Linked DNA regions of Stegostoma tigrinum. The protein of the gene in region 1 purifies or fractionates together with the protein of each later gene. This does not show direct contact. Links are inferred from orthologs where the notes say so. Each region holds a gene or a part of one and is shown on either strand. Other genes may lie near its edges.

What was found. The genes of interacting proteins can lie anywhere in the genome.
Region 2: the proteins of importin subunit alpha-5 (region 1) and rnmt purify together in Homo sapiens (co-immunoprecipitation; 4 studies listed by BioGRID and IntAct, counting the BioPlex papers as one, with this or other methods). This does not show direct contact. The link is inferred for Stegostoma tigrinum from reciprocal best matches to the Homo sapiens genes KPNA1 and RNMT.
Region 3: the proteins of importin subunit alpha-5 (region 1) and arid2 purify together in Homo sapiens (co-immunoprecipitation; 3 studies listed by BioGRID and IntAct, with this or other methods). This does not show direct contact. The link is inferred for Stegostoma tigrinum from reciprocal best matches to the Homo sapiens genes KPNA1 and ARID2.

The regions. Positions count from the first base shown.
Region 1 is NC_081365.1:36,732,539-36,740,552, reverse strand, and holds the start of importin subunit alpha-5, read left to right. Parts: upstream 1-5,006; 5' UTR 5,007-5,121; intron 5,122-8,014. UniProt on the Homo sapiens protein: Functions in nuclear protein import as an adapter protein for nuclear receptor KPNB1. Binds specifically and directly to substrates containing either a simple or bipartite NLS motif.
Region 2 is NC_081358.1:118,294,488-118,301,804, reverse strand, and holds the start of rnmt (mRNA cap guanine-N7 methyltransferase), read right to left. Parts: upstream 3,003-7,317; 5' UTR 2,893-3,002; coding exon 2,728-2,892; intron 1-2,727. UniProt on the Homo sapiens protein: Catalytic subunit of the mRNA-capping methyltransferase RNMT:RAMAC complex that methylates the N7 position of the added guanosine to the 5'-cap structure of mRNAs. Binds RNA containing 5'-terminal GpppC.
Region 3 is NC_081371.1:57,499,502-57,506,943, reverse strand, and holds the start of arid2 (AT-rich interactive domain-containing protein 2), read left to right. Parts: upstream 1-4,440; 5' UTR 4,441-5,060; coding exon 5,061-5,164; intron 5,165-5,353; coding exon 5,354-5,447; intron 5,448-6,151; coding exon 6,152-6,249; intron 6,250-7,442. UniProt on the Homo sapiens protein: Involved in transcriptional activation and repression of select genes by chromatin remodeling (alteration of DNA-nucleosome topology). Required for the stability of the SWI/SNF chromatin remodeling complex SWI/SNF-B (PBAF).

The DNA of each region.
Region 1 (8,014 bases):
ATCTCTCTGTCCACTGATCCATAGTGGAATTTGAATTCAACAAAAAAATCTGGAATTAAGAGTCTAATGATGACTGTGAATCCACTGTGAATTGTCAGGAAAACACCATCTGGCCACTAATGCCCTTTAGGGGAGGAAACTGCCGTGCTTACCTGTTCTGGTCTACATGCAATTCCAGAGGTATAGCAATGTGGTTGAATCTTATGGGCAATTAGGAAATAAATTTGGCCTAACTAGCAATGCCCTCATCCCATGAATGAATAATTTTAAAAAAAAACTCATTCAGGCTTGACAGACCTGTACTGACTTAGCCATTTTTACCACGCACTTTCAAGTACTCTGCAATGTCAACTTTAATAATGGACTCTAAAATCTTAACAATGACCGAGGTCAGGCTAACCAGCCTAAAGCTTCCTGTCTTCTGCCTCCCTCTCTTGTTACATTAGCCATTTTCCAGTCTTCTGGTACCTTCCCTGACTCAAACGATTCTTGAAAGATCACCACCAGTGCTTCCACAATCTCCTCAGCTATGTCCTTCAGAACTTTGGGGTGTAGTCCATCCAATCTAGGTGATTGATCCAGTTTCCCCAACATTATCTCCTTATTGATGGTCACTACACTCACCTCTGCCCTGATTCTCTTCAAGTTCTGGTATGCTATCTGTCATTAGTTTCTCTGCCATTTCTTTGTTCCCCATTATTACTTTTCCAACCTCATTTTCCAATGGTCCAATGTCCTGTATCCCTTACCTTTTATATAATTGGCAGTGGAAGAGTTCAATGTCGTGTCTGCATAAAATTATAAAACGTGAGGCTGGATGAACACAGCAGGCCCAGCAGCATCTTCGGGTCTAGGCCCGAAACGTCAGCTTTTGTGCTCCTGAGATGCTGCTGGGCCTGCTGTGTTCACCCAGCCTCACATTTTATTATCTTGGATTCTCCAGCATCTGCATCTGCAGTTCCCATTATCACTCTGCATAAAATTCATTGCGGTGAGGCGCAAGGGGATAAAACTATGTCCTTTGCTGAGGACCACATTTCTGGGGATAGTCCAGCCATCGATATGCATTAGAAACCCACTGACTCCCACAGTTATCAGAGATAATGGGAACTGCAGATGCTGGAGAATCCAAGATAATAAAATGTGAGGCTGGATGAACATAGCAGGCCAAGCAGCATCTCAGGAGCACAAAAGCTGACGTTTCGGGCCTAGACCGAACATCAGAGAGGGGGATGGGGAGAATGAACTGGAATAAATAGGGAGAGAGGGGGAGGTGGACCGAAGATGGAGAGTAAAGATAGGTGGAGAGAGTGTAGGTGGGGAGGTAAGGAGGGGATAGGTCAGTCCAGGGAAGACGGACAGGTCAAGGAGGTGGGATGAGGTTAGTAGGTAGCTGGGGGTGCGGCTTGGGGTGGGAGGAAGGGATGGGCGAGAGGAAGAACCGGTTAGGGAGGCAGAGACAGGTTGGACTGGTTTTGGGATGTAGTGGGTGGGGGGGAAGAGCTGGGCTGGTTGTGTGGTGCAGTGGGGGGAGGGGACGAACTGGGCTGGTTTAGGGATGCAGTAGGGGAAGGGGAGATTTTGAAGCTGGTGAAGTCCACATTGATACCATTGGGCTGCAGGGTTCCCAGGCGGAATATGAGTTGCTGTTCCTGCAACCTTCAGGTGGCATCGTTGTGGCACTGCAGGAGGCCCATGATGGACATGTCATCTAGAGAATGGGAGGGGGAGTGGAAATGGTTTGCGACTGGGAGGTGCAGTTGTTTGTTGCGAACTGAGCGGAGGTGTTCTGCAAAGCGGTCCCCAAGCCTCCGCTTGGTTTCCCACAGTTATCTTGACTATACACCCTCACACCCTGCTTTCCATAAGGACTCCATCCCCTTTTTTCAATTTATCTGCCTACATCGAATCTGTTCTGATGATGCTACCTTCCGCAGGGGATTTCAAATGTCCACCTTTTTCCTCAATTGAGGATTTCCTGCTACTGTGGTTGATGGGGGTCCTTACCCCTATTTAACCCATCCCTCACACTTCTGCCGTCATCCATGCTCTTCCCTCATAACGATAGTGTCCCAAGGTCCTCACTTACCACCCCACCCCTGGTCCACTCCTCCCTCCATTTCCGAAACCCCTATGGCACCTTCCCATGCAATTACTGAAGCTCTAACACCTGCTCCTATACCTCCTCCCTCCTTGCTTTCGGATACCCCGACACACCTTCCAGCTAAAACAGCAATTTACCCGCATTTCATTCAAATCTAGTCTACCATATTCACTGTTCACAATGTCGTCTGCTCTACACTGGGGACATGAAATACAGACCACATGACTGTTTTGCAGAACACGTAGACTCTATTTATAAAAATGACACTCAGCTTCCAGTTGCTTGCCACCACCATGTTTCAACACCAATATTTCTGTAGTAGGTCTGCTGCAGAGTTCCAGGGAGCCTCAGCACAAGCTTGAAGAACAACATCTCATTTTCTGCTTGTGGACCCTGTAACATCTCAGACTCAACATCAATTTCCAGAACTTTAAAGCCTAATTCAATATTTCCATTTTTTAAAAATCCACCCCCATGCACAGTTCTGTCTTGACATAGAGTAATAATGTTATACGGCAGGGAAACAAACCCTTTGGTCCAATTCATCCATGCCGACCAGCTATCCTAAACTGATCCAGTCCCATTGCCAGCATTTGGTCCATATTACTTTAAACCCGTCCTACTCATGTAACCATCCAGATGTCTTTTAAATGTTGAAATTGTACCAATCTTCCCCCACTTCCTCTGGCATTTTGTTCCACACACAGACCACCCTCTGCATGAAAATGTTGCCCCTCAGGACCCTTTTTAAATCTTTCCCCTTTCACCTTAAGCCCATGCTCCATAGTTTTAGACTCCCCTACACTGGGAAAAAGACTTTGTCTATTCAGCCTATCTATGCTCTTCAATTTTATAGACCTCTATAAGGTCAGCATTCAGCCGCTGATGCTCCAGGGAAAATAGCCCCAGCCAATTCAACCTCTTCCTTTGCCCAAACTCTCCAATTTCAGCAACATCCTTGTAAATCTTTTCTGAACCCTTTCAAATTTAACAACATCTTTCCCATAGTAGGGAGATCAGAATTGAACACAGTATTCTAAAAGTGGTCTAACCAATGTCCTGTACAGCTGCAACATGACATTTCAACTCCTGTACTCAATGGAGTAAAGCTGCCTTCACCACGCTGTGTACTTGGAACTCCACTTTCAGGAAACTATGCACCATACTTCCCAGGACAGTATAAGTTCTTGCCTTGGTTTGCCATATGAAAATACAATACCTCACGTTTATTTAATTAAACTCATTTGCCACTCCTTGGCCCATTAACAATCTGATCAAAGAGCCACTGCGCTCTGAGGTAACCTTCTTTGCTGTCTGCTACACTGCCAATTTTGGTGTCATCTGAGATCTTACTAACCATACCTCTTAAATTCACATCCAAATCATTTATATAAGCAACGAAAAGCAGTGGACCCAGCACTGATCCTTGTGGCACACCACTGGTCACTGGCCTCCAGTGCAAAAAACAATCTTCATCCACTGTCTCCCACCTAGGAGCCAGTTTTGTATCCAGGTTGGCTAGCTCCCTATGGATTCCATGTGATCTAATCTTGCCAACCAGTCTACCATGCAGAACCTTGTTGTGGTTGCTTCTAGCACTGGAAACTCATTCCCATACCTATTATCACATTAATTAGTTTGATTTCAACACTGCTACTCTCCTACTCTCAGCTCTCATTACCACTTACAGACAGTAAGGACTGCAGATGCTGGAAGCTAGAGTCAATAAACGTGCAGCTGGAAAAGTACAGCAGGTCAGATAGCATCCAAAGAGCAGGGAAGTCAATGTTTTGGTCCTGACAAAGGCTTTTGGCCCAAAACTTTGACTTCCATGCTCTTTGGATGCTGTCTGACCTCTCATTACCACTTACTCAGCTTCTATTCTGTCCTGGCTCACTAATAATAGTCTCCTAACTGTTCACCCCTCTCATATCTCTCTCTCTGGGCTCCATCTCCACCTGTCCGCTCAACTCTGCCCTGCGTCCCCCAAATCTGATCGTCAGCAATAAATACCACATTTTCTTAGCTGCTATCAGTTCTGATGAAGAGTCACCGGACTCGAAGCATTAACTCTGCTTTCTCCCCACAAATGTTTCCAGAATTGGTGTGTTCCACCAGCAGTTCCTGTTTTTGTTTCTGATATCCAGCATCTGCAATTCTTCGTTTTATCTTCAAGAGTGGAAAATGTCTATTCCAGACTTGCAAGTTCCATTCCACCGCTTCCAGCCCCATAATAGAAGGGAAATTGTTAAATTTGGAAATCTGAAAGAAGCACATAAAAATGCTGGAAATCATCAGAAAACCATGATAAGAAGTGGCAATTACAGACGGGTCGCAACATTTGACAGATTCAGCTGGCATCTCTTCTGTCAGACTCCTCACCCCCGTCCCCTAAAAGCAGCGAGCCCCGCAGCGCAATATCTCCAACATTTGGGGGTGTTCAGTCCCCAGTCCATTCATTCCTTGCGTTTTTGAGACATTCGCAACAAATGGCATTAACCGCAACGCTGCCGGAACCCGCGTGAAGCAGATGTTCCAGAGATAATAGGAACTGCAGATGCTGGAATCTGAGATAACGAGGTTTAGAGCTGGATGGACACAGCAGGCCAAGCAGCATCAGAGGAGCAGGAAGGCTGACGTTTCGGACCGAGACCCTTCTTCAGATATGGGGGGAAGCTCTACACTTTGTTATCGTTGAAGCAGACATCGGTTCTGTGGACGTTCCGAAGTATCGAGCGTGCGCAGTGGAGAAAGTGGATTGCATCCTCACGGGAGCCCGTGACCTAACAAGACCAGAGCGAGCATGCGCAGTACGCGTGCGCAGCTAGGATGAGGGCGTCATCAACACTTGGGGGGGTGGTGACGCGTGTGCATGCTGTTGCGAAAGTGCGCGTGCGCGATAGGGAAGTGTCTTGAATTTACGCTTGCGCGGCCGGTTGGCTGTCGGCTTCTGAAAGCACCAGGAGGTGGAAGTGAAAGAGTGCGGCTCTGTGCAGTAAATACAGAAGAGCTAGCTAGTAAGTTAAAGTTGCTTTGTACTGCTTAAAACATTGTTGAGAAATTGGATGTAAGCAGTGGAAGTTGAGCTTTGTCAAAGAAAACACTGCTGTTCTACTGACTGATTTGAGGTGTTAAAATTCCGGCGTGGGCCTAAAGTGGGTGGGAGCCACGGGGTTGTCATCAATTTAAACTGATTAAATAGCAGGCAAGGGTGGCTCTGAACAAATCTTCCGGGATATTTTGTTATCGGAGGTTTCATTCGGTTTTTATCTTGACGGATTTGTTTCAGTGATTTTTGTTTTTTGACATTCGTTTCTCTGAATCCGCAAATAGGACTTAAATGCGTTTCCACATGCTTTCTGTTCCGAGTTTTAATTTAAAGCACTGACAATAACGTTCCCTAATTCTGTTATGTAATATAGTGTCTAAAGTACAGTTTGTGAATTGTATTGAAGTTCGCCTGTGATTGTCATATTTGGGCCTGATATTGCAATTCTGAAGATGTTGGATGAATGATAATCCAGGTGTGTGTTGTGCTATACCTTTTCAAAAAAAACTGATCACAATACATAATTATTAGATTCCATTTAAAAGGATTAAAGTAGCTTGTTAAATAGCTCCTGTGCCTGAATCTACTTTAAATTAATTTACTGTTGGATTTTGGATGGCAACCTGGAGGTCAAAAAGATTCCAGTTTGCCTGCTTTGTTAGGGATAAGTAACTGAATTTCAGTGAATGTAATTTTTTTTTATCCAGTGTCAAACTTTAACTCAGTAAGTCAAATGCTCTGTATTGTGGGTGCACAGCTTTTGTTGTAATCAAAATGTTTTATAAAGGAAAGCTTCAGGAGGAACATTAGACTATGTTTTCCATTAGCTAGTAGTGTTCTAATTTTAATAAAAATACAAACTACTTGTTCTAGTAAGGATGTACTTTTACCTGGTAGATTTGTAGTAACTAATCATTTTCATGCTTATTTTTAAGTTATTGTATTTCTAAAGATACACAAACTGCCTGGAGGAGTGACTGGTGCTGTTGACATGCTGTGCCCAAGAAAGTATTAATAATGTGAATTTATTAGAGGACAAGATCAATATTGGTAATTTTTCTTCCTCAAAAACTCTGATAATTATGTGATATGCAAAAGAGAGGATAATTATTTGATTTAAGACCATAAAACACAGGAGTGGAAGTAAGACTATTTGACCCATTGAGTCCACTGTGCCATTTAATCATGGCTGATGGGCATTTCAACTCCATTTCCCTGCACTCTCCTGGTAGCCCTTGATTCCTTGTGAGATAAGAATTTATTGATCTCTGCCTTGAAGGCATTTAACGTCCCGGCCTCCACTGCACCCCGTGGCAATTGAACATAAACGCAGAAAATAGAAGAAGGAGTTGTCTATTCAGCCCTTTTGAACCGGTTCCATCATTCAGTATGATCATGGCTGATCATCTAATTCAGTCTGCTTTCTCCTTTTATCTTCTGGTCCCTGTGTAGCCCTAAGGATTGTATTTAATTCCTTCAGAAAACATTCAATGTTTTGACCTCACCTGCTTTCTTGGACAGAATTGCACAAGCTCAGCAGTCTCTGGGTGAAGAGATTTCTCCTCATTTCAGTTCTACATGACCTACCTCTATCTTTGAACTCTTGGTTCTAGACTCCCCAGGCATTGGGAAGCATCCTCCTTGCATTTATGCTGTCTAATCCTGTTAGAATCTTGTAAGCTTCTGAAATCTTGTTCTAAATGCTGGTGAATATAGTCCTAACAGATCCGGTCTGTCGTCATGTTGGTCTTTCTGTCCCAGGGACTGGTCCAGTAAACCCATGTTGCAGTGCAAGATCAGAAGCTCCTTCCTCTGATAAGGAGACCAGAACTGCACATAATGCTGTGTGGTCTCAGTGCGGCCCTGTACAATTACAGCAAGACATCCCTGCTCCAATACTTGAATCCTCTTGCTACGAAGGGCAATTTACCTGGATGTGAGTTTGCTCGCTGAGCTGGAAGGTTCATTTTCAGATGTTTTGTCACCATTCTAGGTAACATCATCAGTGAGCCTCCGGTGAAGCGCTGGTGTTATGTCCTGCTTTCTATTTATCTGTTTAGGTTTCCTTGGGTTGGTGATGTCATTTCCTGTTCTTTTTCTCAGGGGATGGTAGATGGGCTCCAAATCAGTGTGTTTGTTGATGGAGATCCGGTTGGAATGCCATGCTTCTAGGAATTCTCGTGCGTGTCTCTGTTTGGCTTGTCCTAGGATGGACGTGTTGCCCCAATCAAAGTGGTGTCCTTCCTCATCTGTATGTAAGGATATTAGTCATAGTGGATCATATCTTTTTGTGGCTAGTTGATGTTTGTGTATCCTGGTGGCTAGCTTTCTGCCTGTTTGTCCAATGTAGTGTTTGTCACAGCTCTTGCAAGGTATTTTGTAAATTACGTTTGTTTTGCTTGTTGTCTGCATTGGGTCTACATTGGACAAACAGGCAGAAAGCTAGCCACCAGGATACACGAACATCAACTAACCACAAAAAGACGTGTATCCTGGTGGCTAGCTTTCTGCCTGTTTGTCCAATGTAGTGTTTGTCACAGCTCTTGCAAGGTATTTTGTAGATGACGTTTGTTTTGCTTGTGGTCTACATTGGACAAACAGGCAGAAAGCTAGCCACCAGGATACACGAACATCAACTAGCCACAAAAAGACATGATCCACTATCACTAGTATCCTTACATACATACAGATGAGGAAGGACAACACGTCCATCCTAGGACAAGCCAAACAGAGACACGCACGAGAATTCTTAGGAGCATGGCATTCCAACCAGAGCTCCATCAACAAACACGTTGATTTGGAGCCCATCTACCATCTTCTGAGAAAAAGAACAGGAAATGACATCACCAACCCAAGGAAAC
Region 2 (7,317 bases), on another chromosome or scaffold:
TCAAGCAGATATTCACCTGCAAATCTGCCAATGTGGTATACTGCATCCGCTGTACCAGTTGTGGCTTCCTCTACATTGGGGAAAACAAGCGGAGACTTGGGGATCACTTTGCAGAACACCTACACTTGGTTTGCAATAAACAACTGCACTTCCCAATCGCGAACTATTTCAACTCCACCTCGCATTCCTTAGATGACATGTCCGTCCTGGGCCTCCTGCAGTGCCACAACGATGCCACCCAAAGCTTGCAGGAACAGCAACTCATATTCCGCTTGGGAACCCGCCAGCCCAATGGTATCAATGTGGACTTCACAAGCTTCAAAATCTTCCCTCCCCCTACTGCGTCCCAAAACCAGCCCAGCGTGTCCCCGCCTCCCTAACCTGTTCTTCCTCTTACCAATCTCCTCCTCCCACCTCAAGCCACACCTCCATTTCCTACCTACTAACCTCATCCCGCTCTCTTGACCTGTCCATCCACCCCGGACTGACCTATCCCCTCCCTACCTATACTCTCTTCTCCACCTTCGATCCATCTCCCCCTCTCTCCCTATTTATTTCAGAATCCTCTACCCATCCTCCTTTTCTGATGAAGGGTCTAGGCCCGAAACGTCAGCTTTTGCGCTCCTAACATGTTGCTTGGCCTGCTGTGTTCATCCAGCTTCACACTTTGTTATCTTAATTCTGGATTTTGTTTGTTTTTGTATTTTTAACACAAGAGTCTGCTATCATTAATGTCATTAAAATTTTTAAAAATGAAATCAAAAGTGTTCTGTAAGATGTCTATCTTGACTGAAATCTTTCCACTCAGTCAGACAGCACAGAAGAGACCTTCGAGCCATATGCCTTCTAAACTACCCTAATGAACACCTGTCCTGCTGCTTTCAGGGATCTGTTTGCAAGCACCCCAAGATCTTTCCTTTTCTCTGAGCTTCATTGTGCTGTGCCATTCGAGTACTCCTTTGTCATGTTACTTCTTCCAAAATGCCAAAGCAGACCATTCAATCCATTCAAGCTTTCACTCATTTTAATATAATCATGACAGAACTTCTACTTTGATTCCATTTCCCTGCACTATTACAGATCTCATTTCCATTTTGCAAAAGCTGTATCCACTTCCATCTTGGATATACTCAATGATTGTGCATTCACAGCTCTCTAGAATAGAAATCCAAAGATCTAAAGGACTTCCTCCTGATCTCAGGCCTAAACAGCTAGCCATTTAACCTGAGGCTGTGCCCCCTTCAACCTCAACTCCCCAAGAGAAAAATCATCCCAAGAACTATTCTATCAAGCCCATTTGTTTTGTTTGTCAAGAGATGCAGCTAAGTAGCAAAGGAGGGATTGAGAATTAGTAAAGAAAGAAATTTCAATCCCATCACCTTACTTCAATACAAGTTGGGTCTCCAGTCGTAGCTATATGTCTCTTAACTTGTAGGAACTTATTGGATTTTTGGGTCACTGTCCAACACATCTGCAAACTGAGTGGATTTTTCAATAACTTTCAGCATCTCTCTGACCTTGAACTCACAACATTTATTAGACCATTTATCAGTGACAGTGTTTCCCTTCTCACCCCTAATTCTCTTAACAGTTTGTACTACATCAGTGCAATAAAAAGAAACACGAACTTACAGAATGACTAAAATTACCAGAGCCTACCAGGTATCGTAAAATCATAGAACTCTTATAGTGTGGAAGCAGACCATTCAACCCATTGGCTCATTGAATCCACACTTCCAAAGAACATCCCACCTAGACTCGATTCCCTCCCTCCCTCCCTCCCTCACCCCCCCCCCTCACCACCACCACCCCCCCCCCCCCCCCCCCCCAATCCTTGTAACCCTGCATTTCCCACCGAGCCTCATTGTTTGCCTCAGGTAATCAGCAACATCAGTCAACAGGGAAGGAAACATATACCGGAGGACTTTTTCTTTGTCAATGTTATTAGAGTTTTTACTGAGGTCTTGCAGTAGTGGTAGTGTCCCCATCTCTATACCAGGATCAAGTCCCACTGGCTGCATAGGTTGATTTTAAAATATATGTATATTTTAGAAGTTTTACCAAGGGCTCCTGCTGCCTCTGAACCAGGTTCCAGGTTTAAATCAGCATTGACTAGAAAATATATTACAGCTCTTACCAGAATTCCTTCTTAAACGAAAATCTTTAGAAACCAAAATCATGTCTCCCCACCACTGCACATTCCAGCCAGTCAGAGCATGCCCTTCAGCCCCTCCTGCACCTTAATGAAAACACAGCCACTCTGCCATTCAGCGGGTACAGCCATAGGTATGTACCACACAGCACAGACCAACCAGTGTAAACATCCCTGATAACAAAGTGTGAAGCTGGATGAACACAGCAGGCCAAGCAGCATCTCAGGAGCACAAAAGCTGACGTTTCGGGCCTAGACCTTCCCTACACACTTCCCACCACCCCCTCCCCATGCATACACGGGGGGGGGGGGGGTGTAGAACCAGCTCTCAACACAAAGTTGCCAACTTCCAGTCCCCATCCCTTCCCTTCTTCACCCCACACCGAGGGTGCCCTACTCCCTCACAGTGCAATCGATGTTGATTACAGCCACGGGACAGGATGAGTTAGGGGTTAGGGGATACGGGATAAAGGAGACGGGATTCTGTACATGGAGTATCATTGCCAACCCTTCCACCCCAAGCCCCAGACCCAGACCCAGACCCCCAACTTCTCTCTCGTCCCCACGATCCATACCCGGACTTTCGGCCCGTTCACCCGATCCTCCTCATCCTCGTCGTCCTCCCGCTGCAGTCTCCGTTTCTCGGGATTCCGGACTCCTCCTCCGCCGCCGCTGCTGCTGCTGCTGCCGGGATCGCTCCCCGACGACGGACGGCGATCCTCCTCGGCCGAGTGACTCATCTTTCCTCGAGAGAGCAAGACAAATCAATCGCTCGCTGGCTCCCGGCGAGGCCTCCTCTTCCTGCTGATGCTTCCAACGGCAACTTCACTGCGACCCCACCACTTCCGGTTGGCAGGCGACCTCTGACAACCCCGAGCACTCTTTCCGGTTCATGCCCATGGCTACGGTTGCCATTGAAACCGCCTCCTGAATCCATCGCAAGAGCATCTCCGTGAGGAGGGACCCTTATCTGTACATTGACATAGCACCTTCCAGCCCCGCAGGTCGACCCAAATCACTCAAGAGGTAATGAGGTACATATATTTTTTTTTAAATGAGGTGGAGCCCAATGTGTCAGAGATAGTAGGAACTGCAGATGCTGGAGAATCTGAGATAACAACATGTAGAGCTGGATGAACACAGCAGGACAAGCAGCATCAGAGGAGCAGGAAAGCTGACGTTTCAAGCCTAGGCCCTTCTTTAGAAATGGGGGAGGGGAAGGGGATTCTGAAATAAATAGGGAGAGGGGGGAGGCAGATCGAAGATGAATAGAGGAGAAGATAGGCCTCCACAATTTAGAGGTCAGTACACCATACCACCACTGCACCCCTCCACAACTACGGTCCATCCCATGTCCAACTCTTCCTCTTCTCCCCACTTCCTTGACCTGACACAACCTATCTTCTCTCCCACCTATCTGCCCCACCTTGCCAACTGACCAATCTCCACTACCCCCTACCTACATCCAACTGTCACCATCCATCTGTTTATTCCCAGCTCCCTTCCCCCTCCCCAGTCCTGATGAATGGTTCTGAGCTGAAATGTCGACTCTGAGGTTGCGTGACGTGCTGTGTTCCTGCAGCTCCATGCTGTATTGATCTGACTCCCGTTCTTGCTATCTCCGAAATATAAACCGGGTCTGCTGGAGACAATACCTCTGTGAAATGGTGTTTCAGTTTCACTGATAGCATCATGTTGCATTGGATACAGCCGCCACAAAGACAAAACAAAAACAGTTAAACTTGGGAATGGCGAGTGATGGTCTGAAATGGTCCAGCTTGGACCAGTATATTTTCAAAGTGCTTCTGTTTTCTCTCCCTTCTCCCCGCCATATCTTCAAAGGAGTTGTCACTACCTTTTTGGCACCAACACCTTTTAAACAACAATATGTAGAAGTGTTGCCAACTCTGGCTGGGCATATGCCAGGAGATGACATCTCATGATCTGCCAACTTCAACTCCACCTCCCCCAAGCTCCTGTTGTTGTTCACCCAATGTGTCAATCTCTAAACAACCCCACCATCTCACGGCTTTTCAACATGTACGGGGTTTTCATTTTGAAAATCTGTCACTCGATCAATAGTGGAAGATTCATTTAAAGTGCTCACACTCTCAAAGATGACATTCTCAAGTACGTCCAGCACAAAGTAGCCTGCTTGATTGGCTCAACAGATATACATTCCATCAATCACCAACGAAGCTCCTTAGACAACACCTTCTAAATTTGTGACCACTTCTATCTCAAAGAACCAGGACACCAGTTACGTGGAAACACCACCATCTGTGAGTTCCCCTCCAATCCACTGTTCCCTCAGTACTGCTGGGTCAAAATCTTGGAGTTCCCTCCCTAACAACATTGTGGGTCTACCTGCAACACAAGGATTGCTGTGGTTGAAGAAGACAGCTCACCACCACCCTGTCAAGGGCAACTAGAGATGGGCAATTAATGATGGCCTCGCCAGCGATGCCTACAAGTCCTGCCACCATGTGCCAGGTTCAGGATAACATGAGCACACATGAACCTGTGTGAGAACTGAACTGCAAACCTTTGGAATCAAAGCCCATAGCTTAGCTTCTCAAAACCAAGAGTGAAAATCTTTCAGTTCGACCTCAAGGTCGAATTTTCCTTACCCAGAAGAGGCTATTAGAAGGTTGGGTGGGGAACTTTAATTGGGCATGAAGCAAAAATACAATTTTCCCCAATGGCATGCTGAACCTTTTCAATTGACTTCTCAGAACCTTTTAGGGTTTGTGGCCAGGAATCTGTTTTGCATTCATGAGCATGTCATTAATTCTCAATAACATTCCAGTCTGCTGGAATTATATTTACAGGTTTAATCTTGTTAGCCAAAAACAGGAAACACAAGTGTCATGAGATAACAAGGTGTAGAGCTGGATGAACACAGCAGGCCAAGCAGCATCAGAGGAGCAGGAAAGCTGATGTTTCGGGTCGAGACCCTTCTTCAGAAAGTGTCATGAGGTGTCTACCTTGTGAAGCAGACTTTTTTCTCTCAGCTCTGGAGGGTACAAACCTTTTCAATTGTTTGGTTCCTTCATTATCAAGCCATTTCTTTGTGCAAATGCTTACATAGTTAGAGGTGAAGCTAATCCACCTTGATCAGCTCATAAGTCTCAGTAATATGCAGTTGTTAAATGGTGAGCTACAGCCTGACTGGGCCAGCACACCTGCTGAAGAGAGATAGCCACACTGGCTAATGCCATCAACACTGACAGAGGAGGCTCACCTCAAAAGGAACTCAAACCAAAAGGCTATCTTTTATTTTTGTGTCCACTGTAGTACCAGTATTAATACATATGAGTAAAACACATTGATTGAACATTGGGCATCTGATGGAGATATCTGGCACCCAACCTCTCATGTGATAACCCTCTGCAGTGGCAACCTTACAATGCTAACTCACATGCATAGGAGAATAAAGCACTGAGTAGTCAGTGGTACAAAGCATAGCAGAGCACAGCTGATCATTTATCCTCATGACACCGGAGTCAGCTTCTTTTGAGTTTTCCACAGATGCTGACCTCTGCAGCTAACACCGTGCAGGCTGCTGTCATTGGTCAGAAAGGACTTCTGTTGCTATTCGTTGGGAACAGAACTTTCCTTCTCTCCTGGACAGGTTTCAGAAGATCAAGGGAGGGATTGGCACATTTTGCTTCCGCCTGCTGTCTCACATCATCAGGGGTGGGAGAGTGATGAGCAGAGATTGAATGATGCTCCCCGGTTGAAGAGAGAGGTTCTGCCCAGGTGCCTTTTAAATATGGCACCTGGACATTGAAGGACAGAAGTCACCGCAGGTTTCAGAACTTGCTGCCCATAAAATCCATTGTCATACCCCACCTGCACATTTAATGAGCTGACAAGAAGATAATTGACACGCCCGATCAGATGTTCCTCCAATTTATATGTCCACCTCCACACTTTGGCTAGCCAATGTCTTGATGACTAGTCATGAGGAAACATACTTGCATTTGAGTTCAATGTCTTACCTGCAGAGATCCACGGAGATGCTGCAAGTTAGACTGCAGATTTTAAAACCGTCTGATGTCCACAGATACACCAGAGCTACACCTCTACAATGTTTCCAGCATAGCATGTGAACAGCTTAGAAGTTTCTCAAAAGCATTCTTCCTTAATGAAATGTTATTTGTGTATGCAAATGCATAAAGTACAAATCTGTAAGAAAGAAATGGTTTGCTCTGTGCTTGTCAATTTACTGCTCTGCTATCACTTCTGAGTCCTCATGAGTTGTCAGTTTTTCATCAGCTACTCTCTCAGACTCTCTGAACCCCCAAAAGTGAAAGTTTCCTTGCTGGCAGTTGGAGAGTCTTTGATGGGCCTTTATGATCAATTAGCTTTATTTTCATGCCTGTTCAATATATCATTGAGGCTACAACGCTAAAAGACCAATTTACCTTTGTGTAATTCATCGCGCAGTGATTCAGAGCTCACAGAGCTGCATGAGGGCTAGTCCAAACCCACTGAGCAAATTCAGTATAAGGTGAGAATTTAATGTTTGGTATGTTAGTGGACCAGGAACCAATGTTGATCATTGCGCACAGGGATGCATGGTTGGTGTTAAGCTGGGAATGGTTAGAAATTAGGCAATTGAGTTTTAGAGGAGTTCAGGTGAGTGGAAAGTAAAAGATGGTCAGATGACTAAGACAGCATTAGAATAGTTGAGATAGAAGTAACAACAGATAAGAACTTAGCAGTGGATGGGATGAGGCAGAGGCACTAAACAACAATTTATGTTTTTCTGATGGATGTCAGAAGGACAGCTCAGGGCCACATAGGTTGCAAACAGTCTGGGTCATCATGGGATAGTAGCCAAAAACAGAAATTGAATTGCCAGTGAGAGGAATTGGGGTTGAGAAAACACGAGTCTGTGGCAGAAGCTGAAACCAATGGCTTTTGTCTTCCTTGGATGATTTCAATGACTGAGGACAGAAACAGAAACCATTGCAGTAGATTCTCTGACCTAATTGGATAGCTAAGAGGGTATTATTTTAGGTCTTAATTATGATTTTTAAAATTCTAATAGAACCACCAAATAGGTGAACAGATTAGCGCAAAACTTTAAACAAATGATGATTGTATTTATATTAGACTAAGGAGGGAGATGTCTCAGTAGAGAAACCATTAATAAG
Region 3 (7,442 bases), on another chromosome or scaffold:
ACTATTTCAACATAATCATCATATTACTTCAAAAAAACAGCTAAATCTTGAGTTTCAGTTGAATTGTAGTCAAAGAAAGGACAAGTCTAATGGAGGTACACTAACTATGAAATAAGTAGTGTTGTCATGGCTGGTATGGAAGAGAGATAGTGGGCAAAAAAGAAAATACCATTTAAAGAACTGGAAGAAAAAGTATTATTTAATACTTGCAATGATAGAGTAAATAGAGTGTCTAGTCACAATCTTTGAAATATGCAAGTACGAAAGTGGTGCTAAATCTGCTGGCAAAAGAACAGAAAACTGACAGATTAATGAAATGTACTTTTTAGTGGGAAGATGTAAATGGTAACAACCTTCAACGTGTACGAAAATCATAGCTATTTGTCAGACTGTGGTCATGGTCACGTCTGTTCTCCTGGCCAGAAGGTTCACTTTCTGGATATGTGTCACAACACTGATCAGTTTGATTAAGAACATTACTGGATTTAGTTATGAGAGCCGCAATTATCAAAATGCTGACAGCACAGTGACCGGTGCTGTATGACAAGTACATGACAAAAGAGATTCCGCATGCCCGTGGGCACCCAAAATGTGAACGGGCATTCCACAAGCACTACTTTTTAGCAACTACTAACCAATGCATATTGTAGGCCATCCACTTTTGGAAACAATTTATCAGCAAGGAAGGTAACTCATACTCTCAACCAAAGGAACTTAGATTTTGGAACATTGTAATTTAAAGCTCCACGGAGAGGATAAAATTAGGTGTCCATTTTATGGATAGCAACTTCTCTAAAAAAATTGATTACTTCGATCAAAGGCACTGAAAGTTCCTCCACAAGATGTTTGTCATTTGCCATACACAACTAGGGTGAATTGCTTTTTCCTCCTGTTGGAGGAAGTAGATTAAATTATGCAAAACAAACTGTACTAGCATCTACAAACTTATCTGTGACTGGCCAAAAAGAGCTTAAGGAAACTTTGATACCATGAGCACATTATTTTAAACCACCAACCCAGCAGCTCAGCAAATTAAAACATCAAATGGCTGAGCCATTAGCTCACAAACTATTAAGATTTGATCATCAGAATCTAAGGGAGGCTATTATAACTAATTCAGCCACATTGGCCCGAGCATGAAAATGCATGAGCTTCTCATTGCTCTGCTACAAAGAATCCAAATTAGCAGAAATTTACAAAGGACATGGGGTTGGGGGCAAAGAGGAGCAGAAGCAGAAAGCAGGAGAGAAAGAAAGAAAAAACAGACAGGTTCCAGTCTTTACAAACCCACACTGGCATCAGGTCAAAAAAAAATGAAGTTTAGAAATCTGGGTTCCAAGTACATAACGTGCTATTTGTAATTTTCAAAAACAAACTAATTTATTAGCATCTAATCACAGCTGAAGATTAGTGACTTTCTCTACTGTTAAATTTGTACTTAAACTATATCCCCACCTCACTGAGAATTAATCACCTCATCAGGAATCTCCATTTTCCCTTTCAAGTCCTTCAATATGCCGACATCCAATGCACGAATGAGGTGAACTGCTGATTACTACACAACTGTCTAAATGTACTTCTAACAGTTGCCAATCTTTCTGTTAGTCTCACCACACTATCCCTTCATTTGTGGGATAGACTGATCTAACCATTGCAAAACCCACCCCTAATTCTCCAAGGTAGTTATGGTGAGAAGCTTCCTTGAACAGTTGGGTGTATCTACATTATAGGTCCCAGAGTCCAAATGTCAAAACCATCTTCTTTCTGTTAGCTATGATTCTAACAGCAAAAGCAGAGATTGTTCCTCCCAATTTGCATCGAGTCCAGTTTTACGAGGGATCCTCAATGCCACCTGGTTAAATGCAAGCCTGAAGTCAAGGGCAGTAACACTCACTTCCCCTCAACTTCAGCTCTTTTCTCTATGTCTGAGCCAAGGCCATAATGAGATCAGGAGCTGAGTAGGTGTGGTGGAACTCAAACAGAGCAATGAACTGGGTTTTGTTGAGTGCCATTTGACAGCACTGACCATGCCATGATTCATCCTTTAGGGTCCACAGCTTTTGCAGTACGCAGTTCTGTTAGCTGCTTCTTGAACATCACAGTCAATAGAACATATAATTGGCAGAAGTCTGACAACCTCAGGAGGTCACGTGTCTACTTAGCACTTCTGACTGAAGATGCTTGCAAATGCTTAAGCCAAATCTTTTGCACTGATGTGTTGGCCTCCAACTTATTTGCAGAACCACTTCCTCAAATGATCTGTTTAATTGTGCACCAATTGATGTGGAAGGACTGCACAGCTTACAGTTGGTTCTATTAGGCATGGGATTACTTAGCTCTATCACATGCAGTTTACACTTAAGCTTCGAAGGCTCACTGAAGATGTTACCTAGAATGGTGACGAAACGTCTGAAAACTAACCTTCCAGCTCAGCGAGCAAACTCACATCCAGAACCTCAACCTGAGCTACAAGTCTTCTCAAAACTTGCTATGTGTTGTTAAATTTTACACAAGTTTTTAAACATGTAAGGGGATGTGATAGCATGGTCGGTATGCTTGCTAGATGATTAATCCACAGATCCAGATAATGTTGAATAGTGGAATCTAAATTTGATAAAAATCTGGTATTAAAGAGTCTAATGATGACCACAAAATCATTGGCTGATTATCGAAAAAAAAACACTTATCAGGTTCACAAATGCCCTTCAGGGAAGGCAACTGCCCTACATGTGACTCCAGGCCTGCAGCGGTGTGGCTGATTCTTAAATGTCTTCTGGCAAATTCGGAATGGGCAATAAATGCTGGCCCACCCAATGACACCAAGTGTTGGAGGGGTTGTCAAAGAGGAGTCTCCAGTCCTGTGTCTAGGAGCACACATGGATCTTCATTCACAACTCTTTACTATGCATCATGAGGGGTGTTCCAAGTCAGTGTTACTGGAACACACTGCCTGCATCCCCAACCCCCCAGTCAAATACACTAATAGACAATAAGAAAAACTTGAGATAACAAGGTGTGGAGTTGGATGAACACAGAAGGCCAAGCAGCATCTTACTCCGTCTTCCCTACCTCCCCACCTACACTCACCTTTACTGGCCCCATCCCTGCTTCTAACTTGTCTGTCTCCTCTCCACCTATCTTGTCCTCTATCTATCTTCGATCCACCTCTCCTCTCTCCCTATTTATTTCGGAACACCCTTCCCCTCCCCCATTTCTGATGAAGGGTCTAGGCCCGAAACGTCAATAAAAAGCTTTACTGCTCCTAACATGCTGCCTGACACTCCTTATGCTCCATGGTAATTTCGATATGCCAATCCCTCCGTCAAGCGCTCAGGATGTTGTGGTAGAAGCATATACAAAGCGGTATGAATATTATCAAATGAAGATTCAATTCTTTTCCGCTTGACATTTGAGGGTCTCCGAGTACCTTGGAAGGATTTCGGACGAAGATAAGCTTCTGTTGTTTCCCTACACACGCATCTCCAATAATTCAACCCTCAGCCCGAGCACGATAAAGTAAGGGTCTAGGCCCGAAACACCAGCCTTCCTGCTCCTCTGATGCTGTGTTCATCCAGCCCTACACCTTGTTATCTCACAACAAAACCCACTGGTCCGGGATATCCCCGTTGATGAAAACACCTGCAAGTCAAAACAACTGCCTGCCCTGGGGCTCCCTGTCAACTTTTAAGCAAGAACAAGACTAAAAGTAAAGTACCCACGACTGTTTTTCACCAAAGCACACATTATTTTAAAGGAAGACCTATCATGTCACTCTAAAAGCCGAAAGGCAAAGAGCAAAGAAAATAATTAGAAGCATTAACTCTGATTTCTCTTCGCAGATATTGTCAGGCCCGCTGAACTTTTCCAGCGGCTTCAGTTTTTGTTTGACTTAACATCTCTCCCTTCACACGGAGGCTCACACAACACTGTTTCCAGCAGACGACGGCCACCACCTTCCTTTTTATAAACTATTTTTAAATAAAAACCACGAAAAAGATCGCAGCGCTGCGCCTTCTTCAAAGGAGTCCGCCTGATTTGAATAAAATCCTCGCTACACATAATAACAAATAAAAAGACACACATACTGTACGCATAAATACATACGAGTCAGCGTTTGTGCGGGAACCATAGGGAGAGAACCGAACGTCTCCTCAATCCCTGTTGGGCGCCGCCATTTTGTGAGCCGTTACCCCGGGACTGGGCGGGAAAGTGGGCGGAGGATGAAGCAGCGCGAGAGAAGGGGAAACTTGGAGGGGGAGGAGAGAGCAGCGCGAGAGGCGAAAGTGGGCGGAGTAGAGAGCGGCGCGGGCGGGGAGGAGGAAGATAGACGAGAGCTAGAGTGGGGGAGGGGGAAGGATCCGCGATGGGGGAGGGGTGTCGCGTAATGGTTGAATAGTGGCACCCCCTCCCGGGGCCCAGGCTGTGGTGGCCGGTTTGGTTGAGACGAGGCGCTATTGTTTCGCTTCTCCGAGGGAGGTTCGAGCTGCCGCCGGTGTTTCGGCCGCCAACAGCACCGCCGCTGTGTTTTCATTCCTTTCTCCCCCCCCCCCAAAAAATTATATATAAATGTGTGTGTGTGTGTGCGTGTTATGTTTTTTTTTGTCCTCTCCCGTGTATGAGTTAATGTTAAACTGCATGGAGCCGCTGCAGCCCGTCTGAAAAGAAAAATATATTTATACCATAAATACACACACTTATATTGTCTACCACATTAACATACAATAGAGAACAAGATGTAAGTTGTTTTTTTGTGTGTGTTTTTTTTGGTTGAGAGGAGATCGAAGAGTGCAGCGAGTGAGTAAAAGCGAGTCTTTGCTCTTTTTTCCTCTTTTTTTCTCTCTCTCTTAAACTTTCGCACTCGCTCCATCAATGACTGAGCGGCGGCGGCGGCGGACCGGCTCTCCTTCCAGACATTGACTAAGTTCCCCGAGGCTTTTTATTTTTATTTATTTATCCTTTACGCCCACCCCCCACCCCTTAAAAAAACTCTCTCTCTCTCTTTCTCTCTCTCTCTCTCCCTCTCTCTCTCTCTCTCTCCCCCCCCTCACACACATACAACAATGAAAAAGATGGCAAATTCGATGGGGAAAATGCAGCCGTCAGACCCGAGGAGAAAAAGGCAGGCGTTCCTGGAGGAGCTGCGGCAGTTTCACCACAACAGAGGGTAAGGATTTTAAACACCCCCCCCCCCCAACCCCGAAATTTTTATTTATAATTTAAGGGGAAAAACCCGGGGGATACGTTGGGCGAAACTTTGGACGGGCGCTTTGGTGAAGAGGAGGTGAGGGTCTGATTTTATTCTTCTTTATTTCTACCCCCCCACCCCACCCCACCACAACCACTTCTTGTTCAGGACGCCTTTTAAAAAGATCCCAATAGTTGCCGGAAAGGAGCTGGATCTTCACGCTCTCTACACCAGAGTCACCAGCCTGGGAGGATTCGCCAAGGTGAATATCTTGTGTCTGTTGTGTTTAATTTAATTTCTCGCCGTACGCGCGTCTTAAAAATCTGTTATCACCACCAGCACCCCCCCCCCAACGTTTCCTTTTTGGAAAACCCGCTCGGAAGGGCTGTAGTTTTATTTTTAAAGGTTTACAAAGGAAAAGATTTCTGTCGTGTGTGTGTGTGTGTGTGTGGCAGTGAAGCTGTAAATGGCAGTTGCCTGTCTCTGGCCTGGCGTTGCAGTTGCTGCGGCTGCTTCACTGCGCGCACTTCAGCCAAGTCAAAATTAGCGGGCATGCTTAACATCGATAATCGTGAGTGTGCCTGGGGTAGGAAATGCTCTTCAGGGGACAGGCTCGCACCACTCGTTTGCCTTTCTTTTACTCGCCGCAGCGGAGGGGACGGAGCTCTCCGCTGTGTCAGGCTTCGTGGTTGAGGGGGAAAATCGTAGGCCTCACGTAGGCCCGTAGGGTGGCCCGAACGTTTGAAAATGCGAAGACTTGTCGACCCCCCTTTTTTGTCTTCTGAACCAGGAAAGTGTTGCAAAGTTTTTGTTTTTTTTCGCTCCTGACCCGTTTTTTTTCTTTCTCAGGCAACATTGCGGCGCTGTTCATGTTGTTTTAAAGCCTTAGAAGGAACAGATGGTATATTCTGCTATCTGATAACGTGTCTGCATATTAATCAGGATTATTGTGTTTTTTTGGTGCAGGTAACTGACAAGAACAAATGGTCACAGATAACGGAGGAATTAAACTTTCCGAAAGGTTGTCCGAATGCATCATTTGCCTTAAAACAATATTACTTACGGTGAGCTTTATAATGCATTTTATGTTCGGTTCAAGTCGATTCTTGCTATAGCTGTTCAAAGTTGGGAACAAGGGATTTAATTTAGAGAAAATAGTGATACTATTGCAATCGTACCTTCTTATTTTTCCTCTTGAAAACGACATTTATTTTACTTTTTGTAGAAATGAAATAATAATGCTTTTTAAGTTTTTGAAATTGATGTTTGAACTGTTGTTTCGTTTTTGGGGTTTTGAAGTATTATGGCGAGTTGATCTAAAATGTATTAAACTTACAGAGCAAGAACACTGTACAGGTGTGACCCAGTTTTACGGTAGTTTATAGTTGAGGCGTTCTGCAGCATTTACAGCAGTTCAGAAACTACCTGGAAGGAAGTAGCATACGTGAAACAACGCAGGTGTTTTCTGTTGGTAAATTTTGTTGCCAGAACAGAATTTTTCCAAAAACCAATCAGTACTCCAGCTTTTTTCAAACTTTTCATCAGGGAGATTTTGACAGTAATGCTTGATACAGTATGTATCTTTTTTATTTAAATGTAAATCCATAACTCTTTCAAAACAGTAAAACCAGTTTGATGTAGAAGGGCTATATTTTGTAAATTGGTTTAAAAGTGTGTAGTGTCTTGTTTTGTCCCAGTATTTTTATTTCCTTTCTTTTGCAAGGATGGTTAATTTTTTTTGAAAGTTATGGAAATGAAATAATTTAATGGTGGATTCACTGAGCTGAGGCAATTTTTCCACTGGATGTTGGGATTGATGGGAAGTTTGTGGATAAGAATGAGGTGAAAAGGCAAATTTGGTTTAAGCATTATGAAGATGTCGTGCTTTGGGAGTACTTGGATTCTGAAATAGTTGGCTTTGTGCACTATTTCCACTCAATAGTGTTGTACAAATTTAGTGGTTCAAAATAAAATTAACATTTCAGAAGCCTTGAACAAGCAGTGCAGAAAATTTTGTCGTGATTAACTTGCACAACGTTTAAAATTTCCAGGTTAAGGTTCAATAACGGTTGCTTCTGTTCATTTCAATGATATTGTTTGTGTGTTCTAGAAAAGCTGCATCTGTTTGAATTCAAAAAAATTCGACAGCTTATCTGACAACTTTTGGGTAACTTGGTATGAGAATACTTGAATGTAATTTGGTCATATTTAAGTAATACAGCAGAGAGTATTCCAAATGGATTTGAGAGCATCTGTT